Linked DNA regions of Lepisosteus oculatus. The protein of the gene in region 1 interacts with the protein of each later gene in a biochemical or structural test. Links are inferred from orthologs where the notes say so. Each region holds a gene or a part of one and is shown on either strand. Other genes may lie near its edges.

Region 1 (7,876 bases):
ATAATGAATACTGTGGCACAACACTAGTAGATTTCTGGCTACATAAAGTTTTCTATCATTCATAATGTTAATGCAATTCCAAATGAAATGATTTTAATGCAGAAACAGCAAAACATCACCACACCAAACTTCAGTAACGAATAGAGGCCTACTTTTGTCATGACTGAAGGTGGTCTGTTCTGCATTGTCTGTGCCAAGACAAACAGTGCTGCAACCTTTTTGTAATTTAAATTAAATTAAAATGTAGTTAATCTGTATTTTAAAAAGTAGGATCAAGCTGTGATCATGTTAAAGTGATCCGAATTTGAGCCCGTTAAGCTTAGTTTTAGTACTTGATGAGCTTTCAACACTAGGTCACTTTAAGCACTTCCTTTTGAAAGCATTCAATCCAGGTGTGTTATTTTAAGGTTTTCTAAAGCATTTTCTTGAGAAAATATTAAATGAGTGGCAAAAAAGTCTTGTAATTATAACCAATGTGATGCAGTTCATTCATTTAGCATGTTGACTAACTACTTTGTGAGGTAGAATCCATCGCTTCATTTTAAAACGTTAGTATTTGCAAGTCAATCAGTTTTTCCTCCGCCTGACTGGGTCTGTGGAGGAAACCCAATAGTATTAAAACGGAAACAAAAACATATCAATTTAAGGGAATTAGCTGTGAAAATTGTTCTGTCACTAAAAAATGGATGTATTACCAGGGGTTCCCAACAGGTTATTGTCTCTCATCAGCCGGTAGTCCTCCTCACTCAGGTTGTTCACAAACTGGTAGAAAGCCTCTTCCCTGTTGAGCCGGTCTCTCTGCCGCTGACGTTGAGCTTCCGACTGCTCGCTTCCTCCTTGTTCCGCACTGTCCGAGTTCTCCATTGCAGCCAGGGCAAAGGTGAGGTCTTACTTCAGACTATTAGAATGAAAACAAAGGAAAATTGATTTGAAGATGGTGTGGTGCCACAGGGTTACATATCAGCCCCTTGAGCTGCACTTTATTTCAAATATAAGAGCCACTTTGCATTTGGCATTAAATGATACAGTACAAATTCTTCTAATCTTCAGATCATGTTCATAGCGGGGGCTGGGGGAGAGGTTATATTGATTTAGCCTGGGATGGTAATCATGCACTCGTGTGAAAATTCAAACATGCACTCATAAAAAACTTCTTTAAAAATGTCTCAAGCTCATAACTGGGACACAAATCTAGCTTCATAATCAACTCCTTACACGTTAAGTACACACTAATATTTGCGGAAACCGGAAAATGTGCTCATGTCATTAAGGATCTGCCCAGGCACGTGATGAAACACTATGTATTTTACACAAGAAATGAACAATTTGAGGACACGTCGCTTTTTATAGGTAGCGACTGATCTTATCAAATTTAAAAGCACATGGAGATACTCTTGTGGAAAAGATCAGAGTGAATCCAATCACAGCAAGGAAGCTGTTGAGCTTTTCTCAGCATTCATGGTTAAACAGGCAAGGCTTCAAAATGATTTTTAATCTGCACTGGTAGAAATACAATAGGGAGCAGTGAATACAAAAAAGTCTGCAATGTCCTACTTATTGCTTATGCTCTTTGTTTTACTAAGATTCACACATTCTACACAAAATATTGTTATAAAACAGACATGGGTACAACCTACATATTTCCTATGAGGGCTTACACTTTCTATAAAAAGTCAACTTCTTAAATAAATGACAGATCCAAAAGGTAACTAAAAATAAATCTAATTCTGTAAATTTAGAGCAGTTAATTCATTCAGCTGCATGGTTTAGTTGGGTCATGGCTTTTAAATCCCATGTGGGATGTTGCTTTTGTACCCGTGAGCAAAGTATGGGATTCAGATTGCTCAAGTGAATACCAGTGGGCAGAGTATTTACTGGAGCAATTCCACCAGTTCTTCATTGTAAGCTAGTATTTTACAACGATCACAGTGTCTGATTCATAAACTGATCAAATAACATTATTAACAGATCTGCTGCACAATCTGTGCATTTGAGTGCACACTATAAATGTGATGCTTAGTACAACAAAACTAAAATAAACATTAATTTCATTACCTTATCAACTTATATGGACAATGAACCAATCTGAAAACATTATAACAAATGCTTGCTTTTTATGATCCAATTAAAATGAGTGAATTATAAAAACGGGCCTATAATTTTGCAATAGAATAACTCCCAAACCAAGGACTATATCCCAATGAAAAACCACTTAAGATGGTAATCAGTGGAAGAGGTTCAAAATACTATTCTGAAATATTAAAAATTGCTATACAATTAAGTTACTGAAATAAGGCGGTGCGTCATCCCTATTTATCTTCAGTTATGTGTAAAGCAAAAGACGTCTGAACTTTTAAAAACGCATGGTCTAAACTGTGTATTTAAAAATGCTGAAATCATGTGAAGCCTTTTTGACTAAAATTATTCGTGTTTAGATCAAAACACATCATGTCTGAATCTGACAATCGATGAGAAAAAACAAAATGGCAACAGCTGTACGTTTCCCAAATTAGGTCAGAAAAATATCTTTCTGGATTGTATTACTGAATCTTACCGTGGTATAAACAACACAGAATTACTACTATAGTCATAGATTTGATTTTTTTCGATCGGATTCATTTCAAGCAACTCAATTATGAGTAATAAGCTCTGAGGCCCACCGTCTGTTAAATTAGGTAAAGAAAAGAAAAAACAGAGAAACCTCCTTTTAATCGCTAGAACACCGACAAAAAGCAAAAACAGTTATTTTAACGACTTTTACTGCGGCATGCTGAATTGGTGTTTCTTTAATTAAAGAAAATTCAATGAAAGGCTAGACCATCAAACGACATTTCATGAATTGCACAACAAAAAATAAACAAGGAGTTTCTAATTAAAAACAACGTCATCATTTTCCGGCCAATAACACAAAGCGGGACGATTTTTGACCCCCGTGTTACGAATTCAAGAACCGTTTCGTATACCTGTTATAATCCGTTGCTTTTACTTCAATTAATTCGCGTATTTTCCTCTCTTCTCTATCTCGGATTCACCTCTGTCTTCCTATGTCTCAAACTGCCATTTTCTTCATTATTGCAAAGCCTACCGGAACAGGAGCTGTGATAAAACGGAAATACGCAAGGACCAGGAGTTCTGTTCGCCCGCCACAGCGCCATCTTGAGGAGGGAAGACGGACTCGGTGCTGCATTCTTTCGGTTTTCTCTGGTTGTTGATGCGGTGCATAGGAATAAGGAGAACTGCGGGGATGTAATGCATGTAGCTGGGAAGTGACAGATTACATAGAATGTCTTTTCTAAAAAATGAAATAATAATTAGAAATATGTTACGCATCCTGGTACATATTGTCATTGGATGATAATAAAAACATAATACCCCAAGTGCGTATAATTTCCCACGTGTGCTGCTGTCACTTCAACGCCCTGAAGCACTGGGCAGACGAAAACAAGAACCGGAATGCGGATCAATTTAACTAGAGGAGAAAGGCATGCGCGATAGCATCCAAAATATTGTTTATATTAAACTGGGTCCACTAACTTATGATATGAGTATGTGTCATACAAAATTATTTTAATGTTTTTTTTTCGGGCAATCTGTGTTCTTCGGTTGTAAGCTATCTATACTCACCATTTCACACACACCCGTGCTTTGTGCACACAGGCCCCTAGGCTGTGCCAATACACCAGACTGACGCTGCGGCGCCCCTCAACAGCGTTCCACACCGAACTGCGCTAGTTCACGAAAGGTGACGATGTTACGCGCATGAAATAAATAACAAAACCCATTATTGGCATTTCTTCACAAAATGTTTTGCATTTTTGTTTTCTGCCCGAAACAGAACATTAGGAAATCATCAAAAGAAAATGATTTCTTTTGTTATTTCTCTTCAAAATAAGAATCCAGTGTAGTGTATTTGTTGGTTCTTACTATGTGTATACAATTTTGCCACGCCTCTTCTTGTCAACATAAGCATCACTAACGGATTGACGGTCATTTCTAAAGGCTGGTGAGAATTTTTATGAAGTAAATTAGTTCATATAATACATATCTGCATTTTCTCCTCTTTTATATTGCTCCTGGAATAGATTGATAGCAGTGGGAGTCACAGCCTCCACTGGTATTTTCTACATTTTTTCTATGATCTGTGAAATATGATTTTTTATGAACTGTTATTATTGCTGTTTAATTTGGGTAAAACGATATTAAGCTTATGAGGGCATGGTGGCACAGTGGTTAGTTAGCATTGCTCTCTCTCGCAGCGCACCATGGGGAGCAATCTATCTGTGTAGTGTTTGTGTTCTCCCTGTATTAGTGTGAGTTTACTCCAGGTGCTCCAGTTTCCTCACACAGTCTAAACGTACTGGAAGGTTAACTGGCTTCTGGGGAAATGGGGAAATTGGGAGTGTGAGCGTCTGTATTGTGTCGCTGTGCAATCTGCAATGCACGAGCGTTTTATCCAGGGTCTATCCTGCCTTGTGCCCGTTGTTTGGCGGGTGGGCTCCGGCTTCCCCTTGACCCATTAGCGAAAGTTATTAGCAAATGGATGAATTGACAAGGTTTGAGTAGGGAGCAGTGTTAGGGTGCATTGATTTTAAAGGAACAAGTAATGGTTAATTCCACATTGATCAGTAGAAAGTAAAAAGTAGAAATTCTTCATTGAAACTGCTGTTGAGCCTTCTTTGAGTGTGAGGGAGAGAGAATGAAGGTTGGAATAAAAATCACGAGAGAACAAAGGACAGAGCAGGTGCGAATGGGTACACAGGTGAGAAAGATATATCTTTGTTGTAAATGTCTGTAATAAGTCTGTAGATTTTATTTTATTTTTATTTTTTGGAAAACACTGGCAAAACTGATTGTACCCATCGGTCATGCCATTAAAGCAACTTGAATTGTATTGAATTGAGTGTCTGAACAAAGAGCGAGATGGGGGAGAAATGTGAAAGTATGAAAGTTTTTTAAAAAGAAATGAGTCTGTCATTGAGAGAAAAGTGTGACCTATGTTCCCTCTAATTTGTAATGGCCTATGTGCGCAAACAATTCGAGTACCTGTGCGCACTAAATTGAGTATATGTGAAATTGTAAACCTGAAATTATTTTTTGTTAATATAGTCATTCTCATTGAAGCATAGAGATCCAAAAGACCGGGACAGCAATTCAACGAGCCCAGTCATAGAGACTGTGCCGAGCGAGCATGAGCAGTGAGGTTCAAGACTACGAGAGCATAGATATCGGTTATTGAGTAGCAATAATAATGCACACAGCCAAGTTGGGCCTCTCACAGCCAGTCTCATGGTCAATTTAGCGTTTTTCAATTGATAACCGTGTTTGTTTTATTATTATAATTTTGGGGGGAATTTAATTTTTTGTGCTCAGTTCAATTTCCTTTGTGTGCTGCTTTGCTTAGAGAGAACATTGGGTGTGATCCAAAATTATTAATTTTGGCTTTGGATGTACTAATTTAACGTTTAATTTACTGCTTAACTGCTTGTCATCTATCTGTTATCAGAGCGTTGCTTCACCTGCTGAGAGTCATGGCTAGCTGGGGGCCCGTCCCAAAAACAAAGAACATGACAGCTCTTCCCCTAGAGGGGGCAGCAGTCTATTGCAGGGTGACAAAGAAAGGGACGATTTCAAATAGCCACTCAAGCCTAGTCAGCTTGTCTTCTGAAAGTAGGAGGAAGCTGGAGCTCCCAGAGAAAACCTGAGATCAGGATCAAAATTCAAAATCATGCACACATGCAATGGAGAAGGAATATGGTTGGGCTATTCACATTTTACTCTGGAAATAGAGGATACATGTGAAGCCCATGTTGATTATTGACAAGGAGCATGCAAGCAGGGTGGAGAAGGGGATTTTGTAATAAGATTTTGGTTGGGTGGATAGAGTGGGGTGTGTTTAATACTTTCAACAATTTTTATTTCTGAGTTCTAATAGGTTTAACATTTAATATACACCTCTTTCAACTAGCAGCCTACTGATAAAAAGGAATGTTAAGTATAGTAACCTCTAGTTTGCATCACGTTTTTCCAAAGCTATTTCGTGATCCCTCTTGCAGCATTCTGAAATTCCCAATCTTGTTGAGCTGAGTTATCAGTTGCTGGTTTAATAGAGTTTTCATTTGTCAATGAAAATCTAAAAGTTCTAACAATCGCTTTCATGAGCATACCATCTTTTCAATGTATTAGGCCTAACAGAACCACCTCTTGCTCATATTAGCCTCAGGGTAGTTGACTTTGTTAGGTACAACTATACACTGTACACTTTACAGTAGCTATAACAACCATGCATGTACAGCAGCAAAAATTACAATTAGAGTAACTAAAAAAAGTAACTACCTTGTCAAAATGCACAAATCACAAAGAGGGGTGGATTATTATAATAATTAACAGCAGTAATTGACATGCATTAACATATAATGGAAGTCATTTTAATTAATTTTGTTAATTATATAGCAACACAGAGAAGCTCAATATATTTGGTGGTCTATGTTGTTTGTTTAAGGATCAATTTGACCAAATAATTGAACATCTAGACCCTGATTTCTGCACAGAACAGGTTTTAAACAAATTGTTTTCTGATTTTTTCCAGGAAATGAAACATGTATGCACAGTGAGATGTGCCCAATTAAGAAAAAAATACAGTTTGTCTGGAAGAGATTCTTTCCATTTCAACAACACAGTGGAGTGATTGAAGATATAGTTTTAGTTTGTAATCGGGGCATGCTAACATTCTATGAGATATAGTACCCTTGTAAACTAGAGGATGTTGACAACATTTCATCCATTCAGATGCCTCATCTTTAGATTCACCCTTACTCTGGCTTTCAGATGTGGTTTTGAATTTCCAGACTGTAGTCTTATGGACCAGATGCCTGCTCCCTTTGTCTGAGAAGAAAAAAGTATTTTCACAATCTGGACATAAGCTGTCAACATCACAGCCATTTTTGGATAGCAAGCAACCTCAGGTCATCTAATGTCTCAGCTTTCAGAGATGTACAATGGCATATTTTCACTTTGTTCATGCAGAAAAAGTCTCTCTCACAGATTATTATAAAGGGCTGAGTGTAAGGAGTACCTGTTTAGTAGAAAAAGAATGTAAGAAAAGTGGTAGGCTTCTCCTGTAAAGTAATAATGTACAGGTTAAAGCTCCTGTCCCGTATTGCCATGTGATCAATCCTTTCCTGTGGAATTAAGTTGGACTCTTCCTCTGTCAAAATATAAATTTCATTCTGGGGCTAAAGTGTGTGATTATACTGATAGGCTGAAGAAACTGAACCTTTTTAGTCTCGAACTGATAAGACTACAAGATGTCCAGATAAATGTAATCAGAATCCTCAAAGTTACTGACAAAGTTAATCCAGTTATTTTGCCAGGATATCCTTGCTTCTTTCATTGAACGGCTGGAGAAGTTCCTTGGAACAATTTGCTGCTAACAACCAAACAAATTAGATGTGCCAATAGCCTCCTCTCATTTGTGTCTATTCTTCTGAACTTCTTCAAAGAGCTTTCAAGTTCACATATCTTTCATGTAGCAGCAGAGGTACAGTGAAGTAAGACAGGCCTTTGGAAATCTCTCATGTTAGTTTGTCACAATGATATGAGGTAGTTTAGTGACATCTGTGTCCCATGGTGTAGGATGTGCCTTACAGGAGTATCCAAAATACAATTTTAAAAATGCATATAAAAAACGTTATGGTGAATAAAGTGCCCCTTATTTCTTCTTATTCCACAATCCAGACTTTGGTCCTGCAAGGCAACTTCAAGTATGAGCATTGTCAAACAGCAATGTTTTTATGAGGTGTAAGTAAAAAGAAACTGCTTCTTTTCACACCAAATATGTTAGAGTTAGAGCTTGGAAAAGAGCAGTGAGTAATAATAA
Region 2 (8,332 bases), on another chromosome or scaffold:
ACCGAATTTTTGTCAAGTCCGTATATGCTTGAGGTGTTATTGGGTCTGGGGATAACTGTAGCGCTCTTCCACATGTCCTTATGTTTGCTGAGGTACATTTTATTTTTACATTGAAAGATACAACTCTGTTTTAATCACTTTTCCAAAGAGCAAGAGACCAGATATGTAGGATTAACTGGTCTTCAGAAAAGTCCTATATTTAAATACTTGTTTTCTTTCCAGATCGCAACGAAAATACAGTATAGATCAATATATATATTTGAATAACTTAAGAAAGGCGAAAGCAGTAATCATCAGAAACATTCTACACGCTTGCAGATTCTAGTCGAGGGATTCTTGCCGAGTGATTTTGCCGAGTGATATAGGCATACATTATTTAAATTGTTCGTGAGGTAAGAAACTTCATTCTCAATAAAAAGGCGTATTCCGTATCAAAGTCTTCATGTTACAAACATTGCGAGGCAATGCACAATAGCAATTGTGTCTAGAAACAAAGATCAAGAAATAAAAGGCGCTCACGACAGGCGTCACAAGAGCAGCAGCCAGAACAGGTCGCATTTGTAGGATCGGTAAATAGGTTTTAGTAAGAGAAGTCGTGAGGGTCAGAATGAAGGCGCGTCGCTAGGTCTATGCAATGACTTCTCAAAGACAACTGTTTGCTTTGGGAAAGATGGGCCGCTCAATAAAATGTTAAGCGAGGCAACACCCAGATAAATTTTATTGACACTGATCCTTAGTGCAAAAGGGCGCCTTGGGAAATCAGGCGTAGTGGTACCGCTGCCGGGTTCTCTGATGAATTCAGAATCAATGCCCCATTTGCCTGCGTTTTCAGAGCAGGCGAAACACATTTTGGTGAAAGGTGCGTAATGTTTCAATGTTCTTCCTTACTTTTAAGCTTTAATAATATTTTTTTATGCGTTATTGATCGGGCACTTTTGAGTGGCCGGGCGACAGAAGCGCAATAAAATGAGCGGCGCCTATGGCCTTGAAAAAAAAGTGAGGGACATCCACAGAGAAACTGCTGGGTCTTAACGGGCTTTTCACAAATTGACTCATCAGGCGGAAACTGTTCATTTTCCATTTTTATCCTATTAGCTCAAGCAATATCTATATCTGGATACTGAATATTGTAAATTACTATTTTACGTTACTTTGAACTAGAAAATCGAATTGAAACACGGAGGTCTGTATACTACGTTTTCTGTATAAATACAGTATATCGTGTTATCATGATTTTAAGAAATTAATATTTTCAAATAATTCTCACCTATATTATCAATCGGTTGTTGTTGCTGTCATAATTCACCTTGAGTTCATTAAGACCACTGTGAACCGTGGGTAAATAAACCAATATATACCAAGCTGCAAGTTAGTGCTCCAGGGTTGATGATGTTAAATAATGAATAACTAATGTTCTTGAATTAACTGCCTGTTGGAAAACTACAATCATCTTCGATTTAACAAAGCGGTAAGCGAATCATAGTCCACCGCAGGACGTCCTCCAGTTTGGAAACTGAGTTTAAAAGACATTTTAATGGTTTGATGCAAAAATGAATATTTCAATGCACTGAAATGATTACCAGGACCCAGCAATGAGTACTAAAATCGATTTGGGTTAATAGCTTGAATGTATCTAAGTTATATTTAAGTAAATATTAAATTTGTTGCTCGAAAAAAGAATGGAAATTGTATACTATTACTGATTAACCCTTTTCATGGTGCTTTGCGTTCAGGAACACCGTTACTTATTGAAGTGTATTTGTTTCCTACCACTAAAAGTCAGCGCTTTACCAGAGAACCTTTAAATTGCTTTTACAGTTCCTCCCAATTCATTTCGGATTGCAAGTACCTACTGTATGTACATTAGCAGGAATGTTTTATTTTTTTAACATGCCTGCTAATGTACATACAACATGCTTTTCACCCCTGCATTCTCGGTGACTGTTTGTGACCGATCCACGGGGACGTCCTTTATGTTCAAATATCTCAGGTGCAGCACCTGTCGTGAGAAGACGAGATCTGGAAGTTTTGCAATGAAGTGTATGGTGCACATCTCAGGGCAGGCAGGCTGTTGCGCTGTGGTCCCGCCGGAGTGCAGTCTTACTCCGGGGGCCCGGAGTGTACCGGTGGTCTCACAATAGCGATGAATAATGGTGTGAAATGACAGCACGCGCTTAACATCTGTTCATATCATTTACTAACAATGCAGCTCATTACATATTCATAACGTCCGCTACAAACTGGGCAAGAAAGAAAAGAAAACGTAGCTGCCCCTCTGTCGGACCAATGCGTCTCGTTAGCAAGTCGTAAACCGCTTGGTCTTTTGCTTTCATCGCTTTTAAAATAATTCGACATCTACCGTACCAGTATTTAAAGAAATTATAACCTTAAGCAATGAGACCTTTTTGCCATTGTGAAATCTAAAGAAATAATTGAAGTGTCTAGACATTATTACAACATTTTTTTTCCCATTAGACTAGTAAAATGGCTTCATATATAAATCACATGAAACACATTATTTTCACCGTGGTGCACTTCAGAGACTACCATTTAAAACAAGTTGACCAGATAGTTTCAAGAAAGCTGTGTTTATACGGCACTAAAAATAATCCCTATAAGTAGCACTTCAGATACTACCGTTTAAAATAAGTTGTGTTTATATGGCTTTGAAATTAATCCCTATAAAGACTATTCGATGTAGGGAGTGTAACAGGTACTGTTCCACAGCGAATTATGCCCAGCAGACGAACATAAGGTAGTTAAAGAGCGTGAAATCAGCAATTAGACACTCAAAGTAAAGGAAGCAACGGTTAACAGGACTCAAGCACAATTCAAAAGCAATGTCAAACCTAAGAAATAAAATAATATTTCTTACCTTGGCTGGAATTGTATCTGGATAAATTACTGTGATTCTGACAGCTTGATCCCGAGTGTTCAAGCAACATGTTTAGTCGAAGTGGCAAGGTTTTAAATGGAAATTAATGCATACGGAAGGTGTTCTGTGATCAACCGTAAAAGGTATTTTGAAACAAAAGGCACGTCTTGTAGGAGAAAAAAGACTAACGCGCCTTTTATACACTAACTGTAAAAAAAAAAAAACACAACCAAACAAAACAAACTGTAGCGCTAATTTTCAAAGCGGCTTCGCGGGCGATAACGAAAAGGAAAGGCAGGGTTTGCCTCAGATTTTTCGAATCGGCGAATTAAAATCAGTGTACACAACAGACGTCAAAGTCGCCGCTTCCTGGTGAGATGTCAACTTTTAGAAAGCTACAGTGTAACTAGCTGTTTTGTTCCGTGGGTGAAGACGGGGATTCCTACAGCGACAATTAATACCGTCAGCTGACCTAGAGTTGCTAGGAGTACCGGTCTTTAACATAACAAAAGCGGCGAGCGGGGATGCGGCGCTGTTGACATTTTGCCCTGTCCGTGGTGCTGAAGGGGAGTAGCTAGACGCGATGCCGGAGGCGTGTTTATGCTGTTTTGTTCCCTGCCGTGCCCCAATACATATAATATACACGTGTCTGTCTTTCACCGTACACAATAGGATACTAGGCAGCCCGCGTCCAGACATTGTAGTCATGAGAAAAAGGAAAAAAAAATCGTTTAACACCCCCGTTCTCCTTTTGTTCCCTATAACAAAAGTAAAATTTGCCACCGAGTTGGGGGGGTTGGGTGGATGGAGGGGGGAGAGTAAAAATGAAGCTTATTTGTGGAAGTAACTGCTACAAAGATTTTAAAGAAAGACGTTTAGTTTTTTACCTAATATCAGAATCTTTCAGGACCGAAATGTTCTGTCCTCTTATCAGTTAAAAGATTACATGGATTCAAAACAAAACCGCCAGGGATTTTGATGACGCATTAATATATATATATATTAATGCTTAAACTAGTAAACATCGTGCTATTATACAGTAATTGACTATTACCTCGCTTTCTCAATGTTTGGACTCGATTTGTTTGATCACCATAGCAGAATTAAATGGTAAACTTGTTCAAGACTGATGAACACAAGGGCTCATACCAGTTTTAAATACATTGCATGCGGACAAAAAGAGTTACGTGAAGTGGAATGTAAATATTTAAATGTTCTGAAATGTGTAAATACTTGAGTGTATTGAGGCGTTTTACGTCACGCCTTGCGACCGGCTCTTGAAGGTCTGTTTCTGGGTTGTCGAACTTTACGCGTCGGGATAATGGATGAAAATGACTGCGTTTATACATTTGGCATTAGTTTTCAACTCATCAGCTACGTAAAAAATAAAGCGGGAAACATGGAATTGATCTATTGGTTGTTATAGCCAAACTTACCGCTCGAATAACGATTGCCCGCGGCAGGGTGCTCTTTGGTCACTGGAGGGCTCTGGCTGGTGGGTTAATTACTGGGGTGTGAGAATTCAGAGCGCTATAGCATTGAGTAAGACAACGTATTCATACGTATAATCCTCCTAAAAATCAGGGTTACGTCAATCTGCAGTTTTAAATGGTCATTACACAATTATTATAAATCTTCCTTTAGAATAACATCTTCATCTGACTGCAGTGGGGATGGATATTGGGCATTCTTCGTTAAAAAGACACTGCAGATGCGGCAGATACACGCTACATACTGTACAATAATTTACATCTGCTGTATACAAGAATGATGGCCGGGCGAGGGCATACAGTAGTATATCGACAAACCGGTACAGAAGAAACGATTCATTTATGAAGCCAATGTAGGGTTTTACAATTTACCCCAAACACATACAGCGTGCAATTGCATACACTTGTCTATGAGCAAAGTGTTTGCAAAGCGGCGCCGAGCTTGTGGTTCCTCTAATATTTAAGACGTTTCACCCAACATTTTACAGACTGTGATTTCGGACAGGAATCCTGGAAGTTTGCCTGCCAGAGGAAGGAAATCCAAATCTCCGTTTCAGGCGATAATTAATGTTAGTTACTGCGAGCCACTAATCGGAATGAATCCGGTTAAACCTAATCCGAGAGGATTACAAATTAATAAAAGCACTTTAAAGACGGACTGTCAGCACATATGTCTAAATCACTTTACAAAAGTAAGGTGACCGAATTTTCACTTGTTGGAAAATAACAGAGCAACGTCGCACCTTCAGGACGCGGAACAGCCGAAGCATATGCGTACTTCAGTTGAACTAATTCATTTTTTATACATTTTATATGCATTTTATTTCTCAAACGTAATCATCGTCACTGCCTTGTTTTCCGTATCGTTTTTATCAGATTTGATGCCTAAAATTTATTTTAGAACAGATATAGACCTAAACATAGAAGGAAACATCTTCTAGCTACTGTGCTACTGTATGTGCAGTGTATAGCATTCCTACGTTACGTTTATAATAGAAATAAATGCCGTAAAAAGCGTATTCTTTCATTTTTTTCCTCATTATGACATTTTATACAATTAACGTTAGGGGTTAAAATCATAAATTGCAATAAATGAAATACCCTACCTAGCGTTATTTTGTTTTTATTGAGGCTACCACTAGTTCATATTTATGAGGAATAATTTCTTTAATTGGCCTGGAGGCGTGGAGGGACAGTTTTCACTTTTTAGGGAAAATAGTTTTCACTTTTATTAACCACTTTCTATTTTCTCACAAAGATGTAGTTTGCTACCTTTTTAATAACATTATAGTAAACTGTATAATACTAGTGCATACAGTACACCATCCTTGTTAAAGTGAACATACACTGTATGTTATACAAACTCGCCTGATATTAAGTCATTTGCAAAAATAATGTACATAGTGTAATAGTTTAGCAACGTGAAGACAAAAAAAACAATAATAGTGTTCTAACACAATCAACCTTATTTGCAAGTACTTGTTTCTTGGGTTTGAAAAAACATTCAAATTGTATAGAACTTGATTTTACAAGTAATTTAATTAGTTGAGCTAAATACGTGAAAATAATGCTATTTCACTGGGTCTATAAATTAATGTGAACATCAAAAGACTTAAATTCGTGCATTTTTCTCGTTCATTAGTCATCGCTTCTTGCCTGTAGTACAAACAACAACAACAACGATTATAACAATAATAAGAATAACGAGAAAAATATGCCGAACAAAAGTCTCCTGATTGCAGTTTTTTGCATTTGGGGAATTTTAAATTTGTAATGCCTAACAAAGAAAAAAAAGACTAATATAAGAAGATATGTACGCGTTAGGATCCTAAACAACTCGGATACCGTCGAATGATTACAATAGATTTCTAGCATAGATGTCCGAATTTATTGTGAAACTTGTTTTCATCACTGAAGACGATGTGGCTATTAGCCTTAATCCTCCATCAATAAGTCAGTCTGATCTCTTTGATAAAGATTATAAGGACAAACGACAAGTCTGGAAGGAACCACATAACTAGGATTCTAAAACCAAACAGCCTCAAAGGAGCTTATAGACAAAAACAGACTCCAGGATCGCTCTAGAACACCGCTTTCTCTGAAGTAGGACTGTATGTGTTGTTATAAATGCTGTTCTTTGATATTGATGTACAGTATTTTTATCCTCTTGAGGACTTGTTCCGTAAGAATACTAATTGAAATCTGTAAATATTAACTAAGTTTCTGTGCCAATCTTCACAGATTTCAATAATGAAATCAATTTTTCGATTATTTTTGAGGCACCTGTATACGAGCAGACATCAACCATCATCTGAAAACATTATTTTTTCTTAATTTTAGCGCCGTACAATACCTTCTTTCGGCTCAGCATTTATTGTGTTGTGTTTCTCTGAATTGCGCAGAGATTCATTTACAACCACCACGCGGTTTAAGTGACAGGACTGCAAGCGCACTGTAGTCTGTTTTCCTACAGATGTTTCTCGCGGTCTCTGACGAACTCCGAACACCCATGAAACATGAAGATTCCCCCATTCCAGCTTCTTGGATAAATACAAGGCCTCCATCCCGGATAAAGCAGTGCAGTGCACGGAACAAACTCACTTGTTTGCGAATTAGGGACAGCTAGTGAGAAGGAATGGTAATTGTTATATTACAAATAATTCTTTCAATTCTCATTTTAAAAAGTAAGGAAGAAATTCTGTCTTTCGTTAGTTTTAAAATGACAATCTAAAAAGAAAAAAAAAACAAGCAACGTTTACCAGAAATTCAGTGCTAATAAGCACTAACATTAAAAAAAAAATGTAATCTGCCCTCAATTTTTGGGTCTTTCAAATTGTGCGGGCAGCTATACTGTTCTTGCCACTTGAGAAGATTGGTTAAGTGTTGACACATCTGGGGCCCACTTCAGAGACCCATTGCAATCAGGTTGAAATAGTTGCTAACAAAGCCTATGGCATTTAAACCCGCATGTGAGTCTTCAGAGTGGAAGGTCTAACTTCAGAGAGACGATTTGGGAAGTGGGGACAAAAACATTGACGCATGTGGCTCTTGAAATCCAAGTGTCACTTGAGGCTCATTTTTATACTCCATTGAAGAGTTTTGTTCGTTTGCTTGAAGGTCTCTTTTCATCTCTACAGCTCTGCAGTCCAGAGCAAATATAAGCTTTCTGTCTCCTTGGCTTTTCTTGAAAGTGTTATTGACATTCAACACAATGAATATTTATGCCAGAGTGGCTAGCAGTACCTACATGGACTGCAAAGCTTTTAAGACTCATTTGCAGTTTGCATCTAATAGGCATTTGCCAGTTCCAGTGAAAGGAGCAGAGAGTTTTAAAAGCCCCTTGTTCTTGTTCTGCACTCTCCGTGTTACTAAGAGACAAAGTTTCAAGCTGGATCGTGACACAAGCAGGTTTTCAAAGTGCAGCTTCCATATGTGTCATCTGTTTTCATCCTTCTACCTGATTGGGCATACTGCTCCGCTTTGCATTGACACAAGTGCACTCTTAGCGTCTGTGGTTTTAAAGTAATGGTTTTTCAAAAAATGACAGCTGTTCCCAAAGAAAATGTCTTCTTTCCTGAGAACTTCCACACTTGCAGCTAAGATTCACTCAATTCCGCCACTCATAGCTTCAGGTAGACACCTTTGCCATGACATATCAAGACCGCAGGAGCCTGTATTACAATAGGGCTGCTGTGCTTTCAAATGAGCAGAAATGGAATCTGACACCCACAGACGTTTGATTGGATGCAACCCAACATGCTGCCCGTATGTTCATAATTAGGCACAAAACCCTGACTTTTCATAGTCGTGGAAATAATTTTAACAATTGATATTAAGCCGGCAAATGAATTACTTTTGATGGCAATAATCACAGTAAGGCTTTGTTGTGGAATATGAAGCATTCACATCATTCTGTAGTAAAAGGATTTTACTGTTGGTGTTACCATTAGATAGTCTTAAAGTAAAC

What was found.
Region 2: the proteins of rlim (region 1) and lhx3 form a complex in vitro, tested with the Homo sapiens proteins (2 studies listed by BioGRID). The link is inferred for Lepisosteus oculatus from reciprocal best matches to the Homo sapiens genes RLIM and LHX3.

The regions. Positions count from the first base shown.
Region 1 is NC_090703.1:37,516,176-37,524,051, reverse strand, and holds the start of rlim (E3 ubiquitin-protein ligase RNF12-A), read right to left. Parts: upstream 3,102-7,876; 5' UTR 2,964-3,101; intron 899-2,963; 5' UTR 865-898; coding exon 696-864; intron 1-695. UniProt on the Homo sapiens protein: E3 ubiquitin-protein ligase.
Region 2 is NC_090719.1:8,949,181-8,957,512, forward strand, and holds the start of lhx3 (LIM/homeobox protein Lhx3), read right to left. Parts: upstream 3,448-8,332; 5' UTR 2,946-3,447; coding exon 2,876-2,945; intron 1-2,875. UniProt on the Homo sapiens protein: Transcription factor.